Arabidopsis thaliana: one gene and its partners. The protein of the gene in region 2 interacts with the protein of the main gene of each other region in a pairwise test. Each region holds a gene or a part of one and is shown on either strand. Other genes may lie near its edges. The genes, in order: AGL52, NAC105 and WOX1.

Region 1 (3,366 bases), on a different chromosome or scaffold from region 2:
ATCATCAACACTCATCAATGCACCAGCATTGTCAAACTCGCCACAGTAATTGGGTGCAGAGAATTTGTCTTCACGAAATCAGAGCTACTTTCCATCTTCATGTATATATTAGCTGATTCAGACAAGAAGGATACTAAGTTACAAGTTTGTTATAAGATGCAAGAGTAAAGGATTTCACTTTGCAGGTTGTATCAACCAATTGAAACAGTCTTGTCACCATAAGTGATTTTAGATTATAATTTGTTTCATGCAAGTTTTTGTGAAAGACTTTTATGGAAGTTCATATATATATATATATATATATATATAATACTAACTGAAATACCAACTTAAAAGTAAAAACAAAATCTCCACAAATGGATCTGTTTTACAGTTATAACAACACTGTAAAATAAAAAAAGACAGTAGCAGGAAGAATTCAGAAGCAAAAACAGCTTCAATCTCTCTCTGATCAGCTTCCTACTTATAAGTATTGACTGACTCTTAATGAAGCTTCAAAAAACAAATCCTTTTGGACAGATTTGTTAGCAGAGAAGTCTTGAGTTGTCAGAAAAACAATAGCTGTTAGGAATGTTGTGGAGAGGTGGCAGAGAAGATGTCTGTAGCAAACTGCTCCCATCATAGCTCGAAAACATATCTTGAGAGAAGCTAGTGTTACCATAAGGGAATTCATGTGGAACAGTGTTTGAGAGATTAGGATGTTGTAAACCGTTGTTGTTATTGATGATTTCACTCATCATACACAAGTTCTGATCAAAACCATGAAGCTGATCCTGTTGCTGCATCAAGTGATTATTCAACCCGTAGTTATTCGCCGAAAGTAACGGTGAGTAGTCTTGTGTGTTTGACACGCCAGGATGTTGAAAGTTGTTGTTGTTGGTGATGTTGTCCAAACACATGTTCTGACCAAAACCATGCTGCATCTGGTAATTGATGAGTTGATTGGATTGTGAAGCAGACAGTGGGAGTTGTGAGAGAGTAGCATCTCCATGGTTGTACATATACAGCGAGAACTTGCTAGGATCCAAGTGTTGTGTCTGGTTCAGATACGATGGTGTTAAACTCTGATGCACCAAGTTTGTGTTCTGTTTTTTCTGCGACTCAACAATACGAAGCCTTTTTTGGAGAGTAGAAAGTGTTCGTTCTAAGGACTGAATCAATTGAGAGAGTTGTTGAGGAGAGTAATGATCAAAGTTTGGATACCAATTAGGGTTCTTCACATAATTCGTCTTCCCCTTATACTTGTCTTTGTCCTTCACCTTCTCTTTCTCGAGGAACTCATGAAGATTGAGGCACTTCTTGCGTTTTCTGTCCTCTTTATACCTCAAAGCCATATTTTTCACTGTCTCTCTATCCTTAGGCCATGTTCTCAGATCACCGTCTGGTCCGTAATAGATGACGCAAACGTCAATAGCACAGAGAATCGAAAGCTCTTCTGCTTTCTTAAAGATTGTTTTAAGTCTGTTTGTTAAACTTGTTGGATTACATGACGAAGAAGAAGAAGCTTGCTTCATCGTGATTTTGCCTTGATTCGCCAAGCAAGAAACTAGGGTTTTTTTTTTCTCCGACAGAGAGATAACACACAAAGAAGAAGCAGAATTGTGGAATTGATGGTGAAAGATTGTGAAACTTCACTCAATATGTTTATATAGATTGCCTTGGTGCCTACGGGAACAAGCATACGCGTCGGCGACGCGTGAAGAAGATAAAAGCAGTATCTATCCTCAAATCTAGGTTACCTCTTCTCTTATTATTTAGCTTATAGTATATATTACGTCAAATAAGATAATTGTTTTTCAAGTTTCATTTTATTATTTTTATAAATTTTACGTTTATGTTTTTAGAATATGTTTCTAAAAGGTTAGTTGTATAAAACCCAACTTTCTTCAGTTGAAAATGCTGTGAACATCTTCCACAATTTTTACAAAAAAAATCTAAACAAAACATAATGTTGCCTCAACCATAAGAAAACAGATAACAATCTAACAAAACAAACTGTTTGCCTTACAAAATTCGAACCCGTCGGTTTCACTCGTTTCTTGAACCCATCGACGACGAGTTAACGACCTTTTCCACCCTGCAAGAATGTTAACATATCAAACCTGATATCTAACATCTACCTACATTGCATCTATATACAGGGGGATAGTATTTTCACACCTTATGAGGTGGGGTTCCTGGTCTAGGAACATTGTTGTTGAATCCAAATCTTCCTTTCTTCTCAGATGCCTTAAGGATTTGGAATGAACATGTTAAGCTATCATCAACACTCATCAATGCACCAGCATTGTCAAACTCGCCACAGTAATTGGGTGCAGAGAATATTGTCACTAGTTGTCTCTTTGCAAAGAACTCGTATCCATCTTCTACAACCTGCAGGAACAGTATAGTTAAGTAAAACTTGGCTTGGTGAAAAAACTACAGATCCTTGCATTAACAACTGAGTTATGATTTCTTAACCCTCTGAATTCAGAGAACAGTCACAGAGAAGAACAAACCAATCCAGAGAAATCAAAAGAGAGAACTCAAGGAATAAATTTTAGCTTTACCTGATGAGCTCGGCATATAAGATCAAGGTCATGAGTTTGAAGGAACTCAGCTACTTTGTCAGCCCCAAATGTATAAGAGACACCTCTGTCATTCTCCCCCCAGCCTTGAATCTCTCTGTCAGGATCAGCCCACAACAAATCACAAAGAATGCCCTGATCAGGAACGTCAATAGGACGAGGAATTCTCCTGATGTCATCTAAGCTCTTAATATCAGGCGATAGTCCACCATGCATGCAGAGGATCTTATCATCAATGAGAGCAGAAACAGGCAGACAGTTGAAGCACTCGGTGAATGTTTTCCATAAGCGAACATTATATCTTCTTTTGCATTCATCGTAGAATCCATATACACGGTTGATTGAAGCACATTCGTGATTGCCTCTGAGAAGAAAGAAGTTGAACTTGTATTTGACCTTATAGGCAAGAAGAAGGCATATCGTCTCTATGCTCTGCTTACCACGATCAACATAATCCCCAAGAAACAAGTAGTTCGCAGCTGGTGGATAACCACCATACTCAAACAACCGCAAGAGGTCTGGAAACTGACCATGAACATCTCCTGCTCATCAACATATAAACTTAAAACCATCAACAAAATTACAAATCATACAGTTATGATAGCAACAGAAGGGTTTAATATCTATCATACACCAAATTCAGCAACTAAACAAAACTATTAGCTATCAAATGAAGTAATAAGTCAAGCGAGATACCAACAACTGCTTATGCAACAGAGCTAAGGGACCATGGTTCCTCAAAGACACAAAAGTAAGAGGTCACTACTCACAATTCCGCAAGAAACACTAACTTAAAGTG
Region 2 (4,225 bases):
TGACGGGCTTGATTCGATATTAATATGGGATGGTGTACTACGGGTGATATTTTAGAATTGACTGGTTTGGGTTGATAATAATTTGCGATAGAATTAGGAGTGAAATCCTACGATGACAATTAAAATATAATTATACAATTAAATACTACCACGGGTGAAATTCTAGAATTGACGGGTTTGATTCGATATTAATATGGGATGGTGTACTACGGGTGAAATCCGAGAAACAACAATCAAAATACAATTATACAATATTAAACATTTAACAAAATAAACAAATACAACTTAAAACTTTAAAATTTGAGTTATAAAATTTCGTCTCGCGGTGAATTATACATTTAAATCAAACAATAGCATAAATTTATTAAATCATCCTAAAAATTATTCAATTATTTTTTATTTAATAAAAATATAGGCTCGCGGTATACCGCGGGTTAATATCTAGTCATAGATAGAAATGTTAAGCCGGGACAATTCCTTCTTAAATACCAAACAAAAAGTTTAAAATAAAAACGCATATATATATATCATCATTCTCAGATATTTATGAGCGGCTAAAGTCAAAACACTAAGACTAGAGGTTTTATTGATTTGGGGTTAGGAGTGTGTATAGAGTGAATGATTTTCAATCATGTAATCCCAATTCATAATGGTTGCATTGAAATTATTTTTGTTATATGCATAATTTAAAGAATAAGGAAATTGATATTAATTACTTCCTTTTCAAACCAGAGCATGATTAATAAATCACGTTTATTTGTCAATGCGCTGGTTCATATCTGATTTTTTACCACCGCCAAATTTGGAGTCCATTAACGTTTTTATTTTTTTATTTCTAGTAAATGTTAATTTGCTAAGACCCATTCAAACCCTTCGCTTCTTTGTTGCCCTCACCCTTCTACGTAAAGAACTTAACCGTTTAACCAATACTATTCGGCTACGTGTGTTCCACTTCACCTCTCTTTCCGAACATTCTTGGCATTGTTTTCAACAGCCGCGTTCAAAATGACAAATATAACCCTTTACTACTACCATTACTAGTCTACTGTACTACTAGTAGTTGACTCCCAAAGAATTACATAAAAACCATGCGCAAACGGAGGGGCTCCACAATTTTCCAATGTCCAATTCTCACAAAGTCAAGTCTAAAACTGTATACAGTATACATTCCTCTTTTATGACCCGATGACCTTTCAAACACATATGATCTCTTGCTTAAAGCATGCTTTATATAAGATCAATTGCATGTCTTTTTCATCTAAAAATCTTAATCTCTATTCATCTCTAACATCCTCTACATATATAACCTTTTGGTTTTGGCTGAAAAAAAGGCAGGAATTGTATCCAATTAACATTAAGTTATATACTTGATCGGGTCATCGCTTCACCAACGTAACTAGCTTTATAGGTAAAAATACATACATATCGTATTGTAGGCGTGAGATCAAGTGTGAGAGAGAAATATGTAGTTGTTTTGTCAAACACAGAGATCAGAGTGCTGACCCTAGAATTAACGACAAACAGACAAAACAAGTTTTACATCAGCACATTTGACACATAACGTCAGATTGTAATTGAAAATGTAGCACTACAACCGCGCGTACCATCGAGCTTCAGTATTTCCAATAGTCATTCTTTTCATAATTTGGAGTGTTTTAAATACATATATAAAGAGGAAACGAATATATGATATAAAATAAAGAATACAGGATTGTTGAAGGAGACATCATTTTGAGCATGAAGTAACACAAAAACAAAATGATGATAATCACAGCTTCTCTCTCCCGTTTCTCTCAAAACGGAGCCACCCACCTTTTTTTTTAATCTCCTTTTCATATGTCTCCATTCTAAGTTGTAACATAATCATTACTTCGTTTCATATATATATATATATATTAATTTGTAGATTCATATCTTCTAACATATATTTTTGTGTATCTTGTATATAAATGTGCATATATGTACAGAAAGAGTGATGGTGAATTACGCCAACGCGAAATGAACATATGATTACACTCTGAAGTCTAAACACACATGTCATCGTTCAAGTGGACGGTCCATATCTCTCTTTTCCTATACCTAACCAACATCTTCAATAAGACTCTCGTTCTATTGTTTTTCCCTTGATAGAGTCGGTTGATCGGGTTTCTTCTATGATCGATCTTTCTAAGATCAAGAAGAAACCGCAGCGAAATAAATCCTAGAAAATAACTATCAATATGATGAAGGTTGATCAAGATTATTCGTGTAGTATACCGCCTGGATTTAGGTTTCATCCGACAGATGAAGAACTTGTCGGATATTATCTCAAGAAGAAAATCGCCTCCCAGAGGATTGATCTCGACGTTATCAGAGAAATTGATCTTTACAAGATCGAACCATGGGATCTACAAGGTATATTATATATCTATCTCTCTCTATCTGTCTCTCTTATATCTTCTCGATACCAATGTTTATTCATGTGATCAATCGTTCATATAATATAATTGGTTCCGTCTTTTATATGTGCAATTTATGAATTATGTGCCCGAGTGACCCTACATATAAGGCTACATCTAGAGAGGTCAAGTTTTAGAAGTTAGGGTTAATTTATGAATTATGATTTAAACGATACCACCTACACATGTAAGCAACTATACTGTGTAGCTCGAAAGAGTAATATGTAACCTAAATGTGATACGTGTAGAGAGATGTAGGATAGGGTACGAGGAGCAAACGGAGTGGTATTTCTTCAGCCATAGAGACAAGAAGTATCCGACTGGGACTAGGACAAACCGAGCCACCGTGGCCGGTTTCTGGAAAGCAACGGGCCGGGACAAGGCGGTTTACCTCAACTCCAAACTTATCGGTATGAGAAAAACGCTTGTCTTTTACCGAGGTCGAGCGCCTAATGGCCAAAAGTCCGATTGGATCATTCACGAATACTACAGCCTCGAGTCACACCAGAACTCTCCTCCACAGGTAATTCGGAATCTTATTCACTTATAGCGCCACACATTCTGATTGATCTAGCTAGATTAAATGGTGAAGCAGGAAGAAGGATGGGTAGTGTGTAGAGCATTTAAGAAACGAACGACCATCCCAACAAAAAGGAGGCAACTTTGGGATCCGAACTGCTTATTCTACGACGACGCCACTCTCTTGGAACCTCTCGACAAGCGAGCCAGACATAATCCTGATTTTACCGCCACACCGTTCAAGCAAGAACTACTCTCCGAGGCCAGTCACGTCCAGGATGGAGATTTCGGATCTATGTACCTTCAATGCATCGATGATGATCAATTCTCCCAGCTTCCTCAGCTCGAGAGCCCCTCTCTTCCGTCGGAAATAACTCCCCATAGTACTACTTTTTCTGAGAACAGTAGCCGGAAAGATGACATGAGCTCCGAGAAGAGGATCACTGACTGGAGATATCTAGATAAGTTCGTGGCGTCTCAATTTTTGATGAGTGGAGAAGACTAAAAAAGGCTTTCCTATGCATGCATGCACTAGAAACGTCGTCGCATTTTGGATTTACATATATGGTCGTAATAATTCACCGAAGGAATTGATTTCGATGGATAAATAGAAGGTGAGAATCGAATAAGAAGATATATATAGGGCTTTACACTTACTCAGTTTGTTTCGTATAATGTATTAGTGACTCGAAAATATACGTTCAAATTACGGTGATTTATATTTTTATATATTTAATAAAGAAGTGGGCTCAAGGTGGGCCCAATAAAATGGGCTTTTGTCTACCATGCGTGGTGAAGCATGGCTTTGTGTTACTCATGCTTTGTCTCCTAGTCCTACCCATTGAATATCCAACGAGCTGGCGTTTTTTGTTTTAACACATTGTCGTCACTGGGGGTTTAAAACGGCACGCTGTTGTCTTGCACATGCGCGAAACGTCATATTGCGGTCTCCTCCTCCTTCTCCTTGGCGGAGTTGAGAAAACCTTGCTACGAGCGTTTCCAGATTTCTCCCAAAACGGAACTGCTGATTCCTTGAATAAAATTCCCTAATCGGAGTCTGTGAAGCAAATGGGAGCATCAGATTCAACTCTGCTAGGCTCTCAGGTAACTGATATATCGCGATTTGATTCTCCAGGCATCTTCCTGGGTCTATTATATATGCGAGATTGATTTATTCAATTTTTGATGGATTCTCAGGAAAATCGAGGTGATGTGATTACGACTATATCTCATCGATCAGAAATAGTCGATCCCATTCTCGAGAATCT
Region 3 (5,244 bases), on a different chromosome or scaffold from region 2:
TTCGTTAATCATACATCTTGTGATCTAATTCCTTTCATGCTTTCATCAAAAACCAAGCTTATCGAAGCTTTCAATTTAGTTTAAAATTTGTCAAAATGTTAAAATTCGTACGTAAGACATAGATGAATGAAAATTTAGCTAGTGTTTTATGGGAAATTTTTGTTTAAATAAATATTAATTGAATAATATGTTTTAAACTCTCATTCTTAAAAAATATAAAATTATCTCTTACTATAGGTAGAAGTAGAACCATGACCCGAATAGTCATTCAATTTTGAGGAATATACTGTATATATAATAGCAAATGTAAAGGCATATTGTTCGTATGCTAGTGAAGAGAAAAACAAAACAAGTGCCAAACCAATAATATTTTCCCACTCTCTTAGTCATTTCAACATCAACCCAATTCTTTTTGTCTCTCGCGCATTTATAACTCATAGAAACAGATCCCCACATACATACACACACACACATATATATATATATAGATCATGCATGTGTGTGTAGATATTCTTTAGAAATAACGCATGAAATTAAAGGAAAGATGTAGAGTAATAACGAGTTCCCATTCTCGTAACAGATTATCCCATCACCAAAGCACCAAATAGCTTCATTCACCAACCAAATCAAGCAAGTTTCATGATCTAAACCCTAAGTCACCACATCCACACAAATGAAAAAACTATTGGGAAAATCACATGTCTTTCTATTCTTTTCCTTTTTAAATTTGTTTGGTTCATTTTTAACAATTAAAGAAAGTGGTCCAAAGTGCATTTTAAGGCAAACCCTTATGAAATGTTAACATCAACACCATAAAGACACGCCTGCCCTTACTCCTAGACAAAACCCTAATTATCCTTTTTCACTCTCCCTAACTCGGTTGAATAATTAAACTAATCATCTAATAACAAAAAGCTGTTTTTCTTGAAAGACTTCAATTAGGTTTAGTTCTTCAATGGCAGAAACTCATAGAAACAGTGAATGCCACTAATGTTCTTGTCTTTCTCACCATCGCTACAAAACCCTTCTTTTCTCAGTGGAAACAGCTCAAGTGTCTGTTCTTGATGATCCAATTCACCGTTGGAGCAATCTTCATGTTGTTCTTGATCTTTATTATCATCACCATTTCGATGACAAGTCTCTGTGTTCGTTGCTTCTCTCGTACGTAGAAATACAGGTGAAACCGTGACCGTATCTTTAGAAGCAGAGACAGCATTGTTGCTGTTGGACATGTTGGAGGAAACAGTAGGTGAATTGAGAATGAGGTTACGTTGATGATGATGATGTGAAGAAGAGTAGAAACTAGGTGGCAACTGCATCATCTGCCACGTGGTGTTTATCCCTAAAAAGCTTCGTCTCTCGTCTCCTCCACAACGAGCATTGTGCTCCACCCGTATATTCGCTGGCTCCTCCAGATGATAATCACGGGAAGGTTTCTAATTATGCAAAAGAAAGAACATTCAAGATGTGTTGAAATTAGTCAAATTAGCATCGGAAAATGTAAAAATTGGTAACAAATAAGTCAAAATTTGGCAAAGCGACAAACTTTATGCTTAAAACAAAATTCCAGATAGGGACAGGGGTGAAGAAGAATGAGACCGTTAAAGACCAGGGTCAAAAGGGTCTTTTCAAGCATGTGTTTGGAGTGAAAAAGCACATTAATTTATGGAAATTCAGCAAAAACAAGAAGACACAGAGCTAAAGGATCGATCGTACGTAGCAGCTGTGCCGACAGAAAGGAAAGTCTCTGCAGCTTTTTGGATGAATTCAATAATCTTTTTAAAAAGATACTACTAATATTCAAACAAAATAAAACCATAATTATATGCTAAGAATATACGTATTTTTGCATATGCTACAAAAATACTTATTTTGAAGTTCCCCATAAATTAACTTCTTGGTCTTTTCCACCGCCTCATCTCTCTGCCTTTTGTTTTTTTCTTTCAATAACTTACCCAAACTTCCAAAAAGGAATTCACTTATTCTTAGCTAGCAGATTCTATTTGTAATCATATGCTAATTATATATGTAAACCCTCAATCCTTAATTACACTCCCTTTCATGTAATAGAAACCCCAAGACCATTATAAACACAGAATATGAGCAACATATATACATAATACATATCATAAAATAATATCAATTTAGAAACAAATATATGTATAAATAGAGATATATACCTCTGGTTGCGTGTCGCATCCGACCGAACATATCCAGTTCTTGACCTGTTCAACCTTGTAACCTGCAAAATTCCAGACATGAATTTTCAAACCGTCAATTTTGAAATGAAATCAACCCAAAAAGACATTCTAATCCAAAAAGACTTTTATTGTTTGAATGTTAATCCCCAAGTTCTGTTATGGTCCCTTACCTGGAGGATCTTTCTTGTCGAATCCGTGGTTTGAGACAAGACTTGCTGTTGAAAGGACCGTTTCTTCGTGGCCAGTTTCCATTTGTCGCCGTCGTTTCTGGCGTTCTCGGGCTTTGTGGTTTTGGAACCAATAGAAAACGTTTTTGCCTTCTATCTTCCCGTACCGTCGTAGCTGTGCGGTGATTTGTTGGATGTGGTCGGCAGAAGGAGTTCTAGTTCCTTGTCGGTAAAGCTCTTCAAGAACCCTTAACTGATCTGGTGTCGGATTCCACCGTGAGCTCACCATTACCGGTGGATGTTGAGGTTCTGAGTTTAGCATCATCAGCTCCCTCTTGTTCTGCTCCGCCGTCATCGTCACCACTGCTGTGAAAATCGTAACCAAAGCAAGAAAATGAGCATTAGAAACAAGGGAAAGAGAGACTGGAAAGTTTCACCAAAAATTGACGAGAGAGAGAGAAAGAGATACCCATATTAAAGCGGTGGTCGGAGTTGGTGTTTACGGCGGCGGTGGGGCAAGAAGTGAGACGTGGGATGAGAGGACGAAGCTTTCTTCCTCCGTTGAAGGAATCTGCGCCTCCTTCGTTGTAACCCATCGTCCACATTTTGGTGTGTACTTAATTTATATGTATGTTTATAGAGGAGAAGGGAGAGAGACAGCGATATAGCAAGTAAAAATATTAGGGCTTTGTTTGTTTTATCGAAACTGAGGAGATGTGAATGATATGGTTGAAGGAGTAATAGACAAATGGTAGAAAGTAGTTTTGGCTATTTTGGCTTATGGGTTTGGAGAAGAGTGATAAAGTTGAGAGATATCTTTGTATGTGAATGTGAGAATGGGAGCATGCAAATGGGGTGGTTTTGTAAGCACATATGTGTGTGTGTGTATATGTAGACAATTTAACACATCCTTTTATTTATTTCTAAATACAGAATATTAACATTCTACATATGAATAGAAAAGTTTATTTTATTTTATTTCCTTTTATTCCATTCACTTTAAAAATTCTCAACCGTCCTGCAAAATCATAAATATGTTTGTATAGAAAAGAAACATAACATTATATAATCCTTGATTAGTAAACGACCTATATATATAGTACTTTCCCATGATGAAATTTTATCATATCATACATTTGTAGGAAGCTATGGAATGTTTGTTTGCACAATACGATTAATGTAACATGTAGATTCATTTAACTAAAAAAAACATGTAGATTCATAGACATTAAGCTTAGATTGCATGATAAAAGCTTTCATGTACAATGTGTACCACTAGAATGCTAATCAAAACGTGATTACTCTGCGGATGATGTAAGTACTTTTAACCACTATACATAGAAACTGACATATAAATAGATTTTTAAAAAATTAACTTTCGTCCCAACCAAATATATGTCACAAAATTTTATACCCTAGCTAAAGCACGGTGATAAAACTATACACCTACCCTGAACACGTAATAAAGTACAGTGATGATAATTGACAAATCACTTTAAATTTGTTAAGCGAATTCAATAAATGCAGTGATCAGCTATATATGGAATTTCACTAAGCTACATAATTTTGGAATGATAAATAAAAGAATTGAAGCTAGGAAGATGAGGTTGACTAGTAAAAGAGGAGAGAGAGGATCGGAGGGGCGTGGAATTCTGGGGGGATATGATATGAATGATATGGGGAGATGCGAAGGAGCTTATAACGACGTGACATTCCTCCCATCTCTCCCCATCACTCCTTTTCTTTCATTCTTTTTTTCTTTTGGTTTCTTTCATTCATTTTTTATATATCCTATAGTATTAGATTAATATGTCTTTTTACGACGAATATGAGATCCCTAAATAAATATGTGTATGTATGTGTGTGTTGTGGCTTTCACTATTATTCTTGTTCTCAACTGCCCCATAGGCTTTGTCTCCTTTACACTCTTAACCTCTTCTCCTTTTGTCTCTCTCAAACAATTGCTTTTCCATAGATAAAACCCTTTTCCTTCTTTCTTCTCTTTGGGATCTTAAATCCCCCTTTTCTGTCTTTTCCCAAGCCCTAATCTAATCCTTTTGTTTTTTCTCCCTTTTTTGGAAAAAATTGTAAATATATTAATCCCTGAGTTTGAAAAAGATGTACCAAAAAATGATCTAATTTGCTTTTTATTTGTTCTCATGTTTATGTGATCAAACTATATATTTCCCTCATTTGTTTGAGATGTAGCGATGGATTCAAGGTGTAGGTATTATATAATGACATACATGAACAAAGTGATTATCTCAATTTTTATTTTGTGATATATCTTTCAAACTTAATAAATATGATTTTTTTTAGAAAAATCGATGAAATCTTATGTTTTTTCTTTCTTTCTGAAAAATGATAAAATCTCATAGTTTTTGAAATATGATTGGCTTACAACTGAATTGTGTATCACTTAATCAATCTTTCTATTTTTTGTTTTAAAGAAATTACGATAATCATTCATAATTTCATATGATCAAAATTATGGCTTTCTTCAAACGTCAAGTACTTTTTCTGAGTTGCAAGCTTGTTATCATACGTGATTTCGCACGCACTCTGAATCATTACGTTTCTTTTTAACAGAGATATTTTCAAGCATGATTTTTTTTCTTTTCACACTTTTATATTCTATTTATTAGGTAAATTCATAAGAATAAATGAAAGATTTTGGTGGAAAAATAATCACATTGAGTGAACTTAACTAATATACAAAATAAATATAAAAAATTGATTAAAAAGAACTCTGGGCTTATATAAATCAGACTTTGGCCCAATGAAATCGGATTAGGCCCAAACAAGCTATAAATGTCTTGTCGTATAAAAACCGGTTTTGAAAGAGAGAAACAGAGATTGCTACGAAAGTTATGTTC

The links.
Region 1: the proteins of NAC105 (region 2) and AGL52 interact in a two-hybrid assay, tested with the Arabidopsis thaliana proteins (one large-scale study listed by BioGRID).
Region 3: the proteins of NAC105 (region 2) and WOX1 interact in a two-hybrid assay, tested with the Arabidopsis thaliana proteins (one large-scale study listed by BioGRID).

Annotation. Positions count from the first base shown.
Region 1 is NC_003075.7:6,847,726-6,851,091, reverse strand, and holds AGL52 (AGAMOUS-like 52), read right to left. Parts: upstream 1,515-3,366; coding exon 525-1,514; downstream 1-524. Other genes in the region: TOPP7 (Calcineurin-like metallo-phosphoesterase superfamily protein), read right to left, coding at 2,060-2,077, 2,161-2,373, 2,550-3,109.
Region 2 is NC_003076.8:26,479,242-26,483,466, reverse strand, and holds NAC105 (NAC domain containing protein 105), read left to right. Parts: upstream 1-1,938; 5' UTR 1,939-2,219; coding exon 2,220-2,394; intron 2,395-2,686; coding exon 2,687-2,961; intron 2,962-3,033; coding exon 3,034-3,462; 3' UTR 3,463-3,701; downstream 3,702-4,225. Other genes in the region: AT5G66290 (uncharacterized protein), read left to right, coding at 4,026-4,061, 4,155-4,225. UniProt on the Arabidopsis thaliana protein: Transcription activator that binds to the secondary wall NAC binding element (SNBE), 5'-(T/A)NN(C/T)(T/C/G)TNNNNNNNA(A/C)GN(A/C/T)(A/T)-3', in the promoter of target genes.
Region 3 is NC_003074.8:6,160,211-6,165,454, forward strand, and holds WOX1 (WUSCHEL related homeobox 1), read right to left. Parts: upstream 3,244-5,244; 5' UTR 2,974-3,243; coding exon 2,838-2,973; intron 2,735-2,837; coding exon 2,372-2,734; intron 2,243-2,371; coding exon 2,181-2,242; intron 1,437-2,180; coding exon 945-1,436; 3' UTR 523-944; downstream 1-522. Other genes in the region: AT3G18020 (Pentatricopeptide repeat (PPR) superfamily protein), read left to right, coding at 5,239-5,244. UniProt on the Arabidopsis thaliana protein: Transcription factor which may be involved in developmental processes.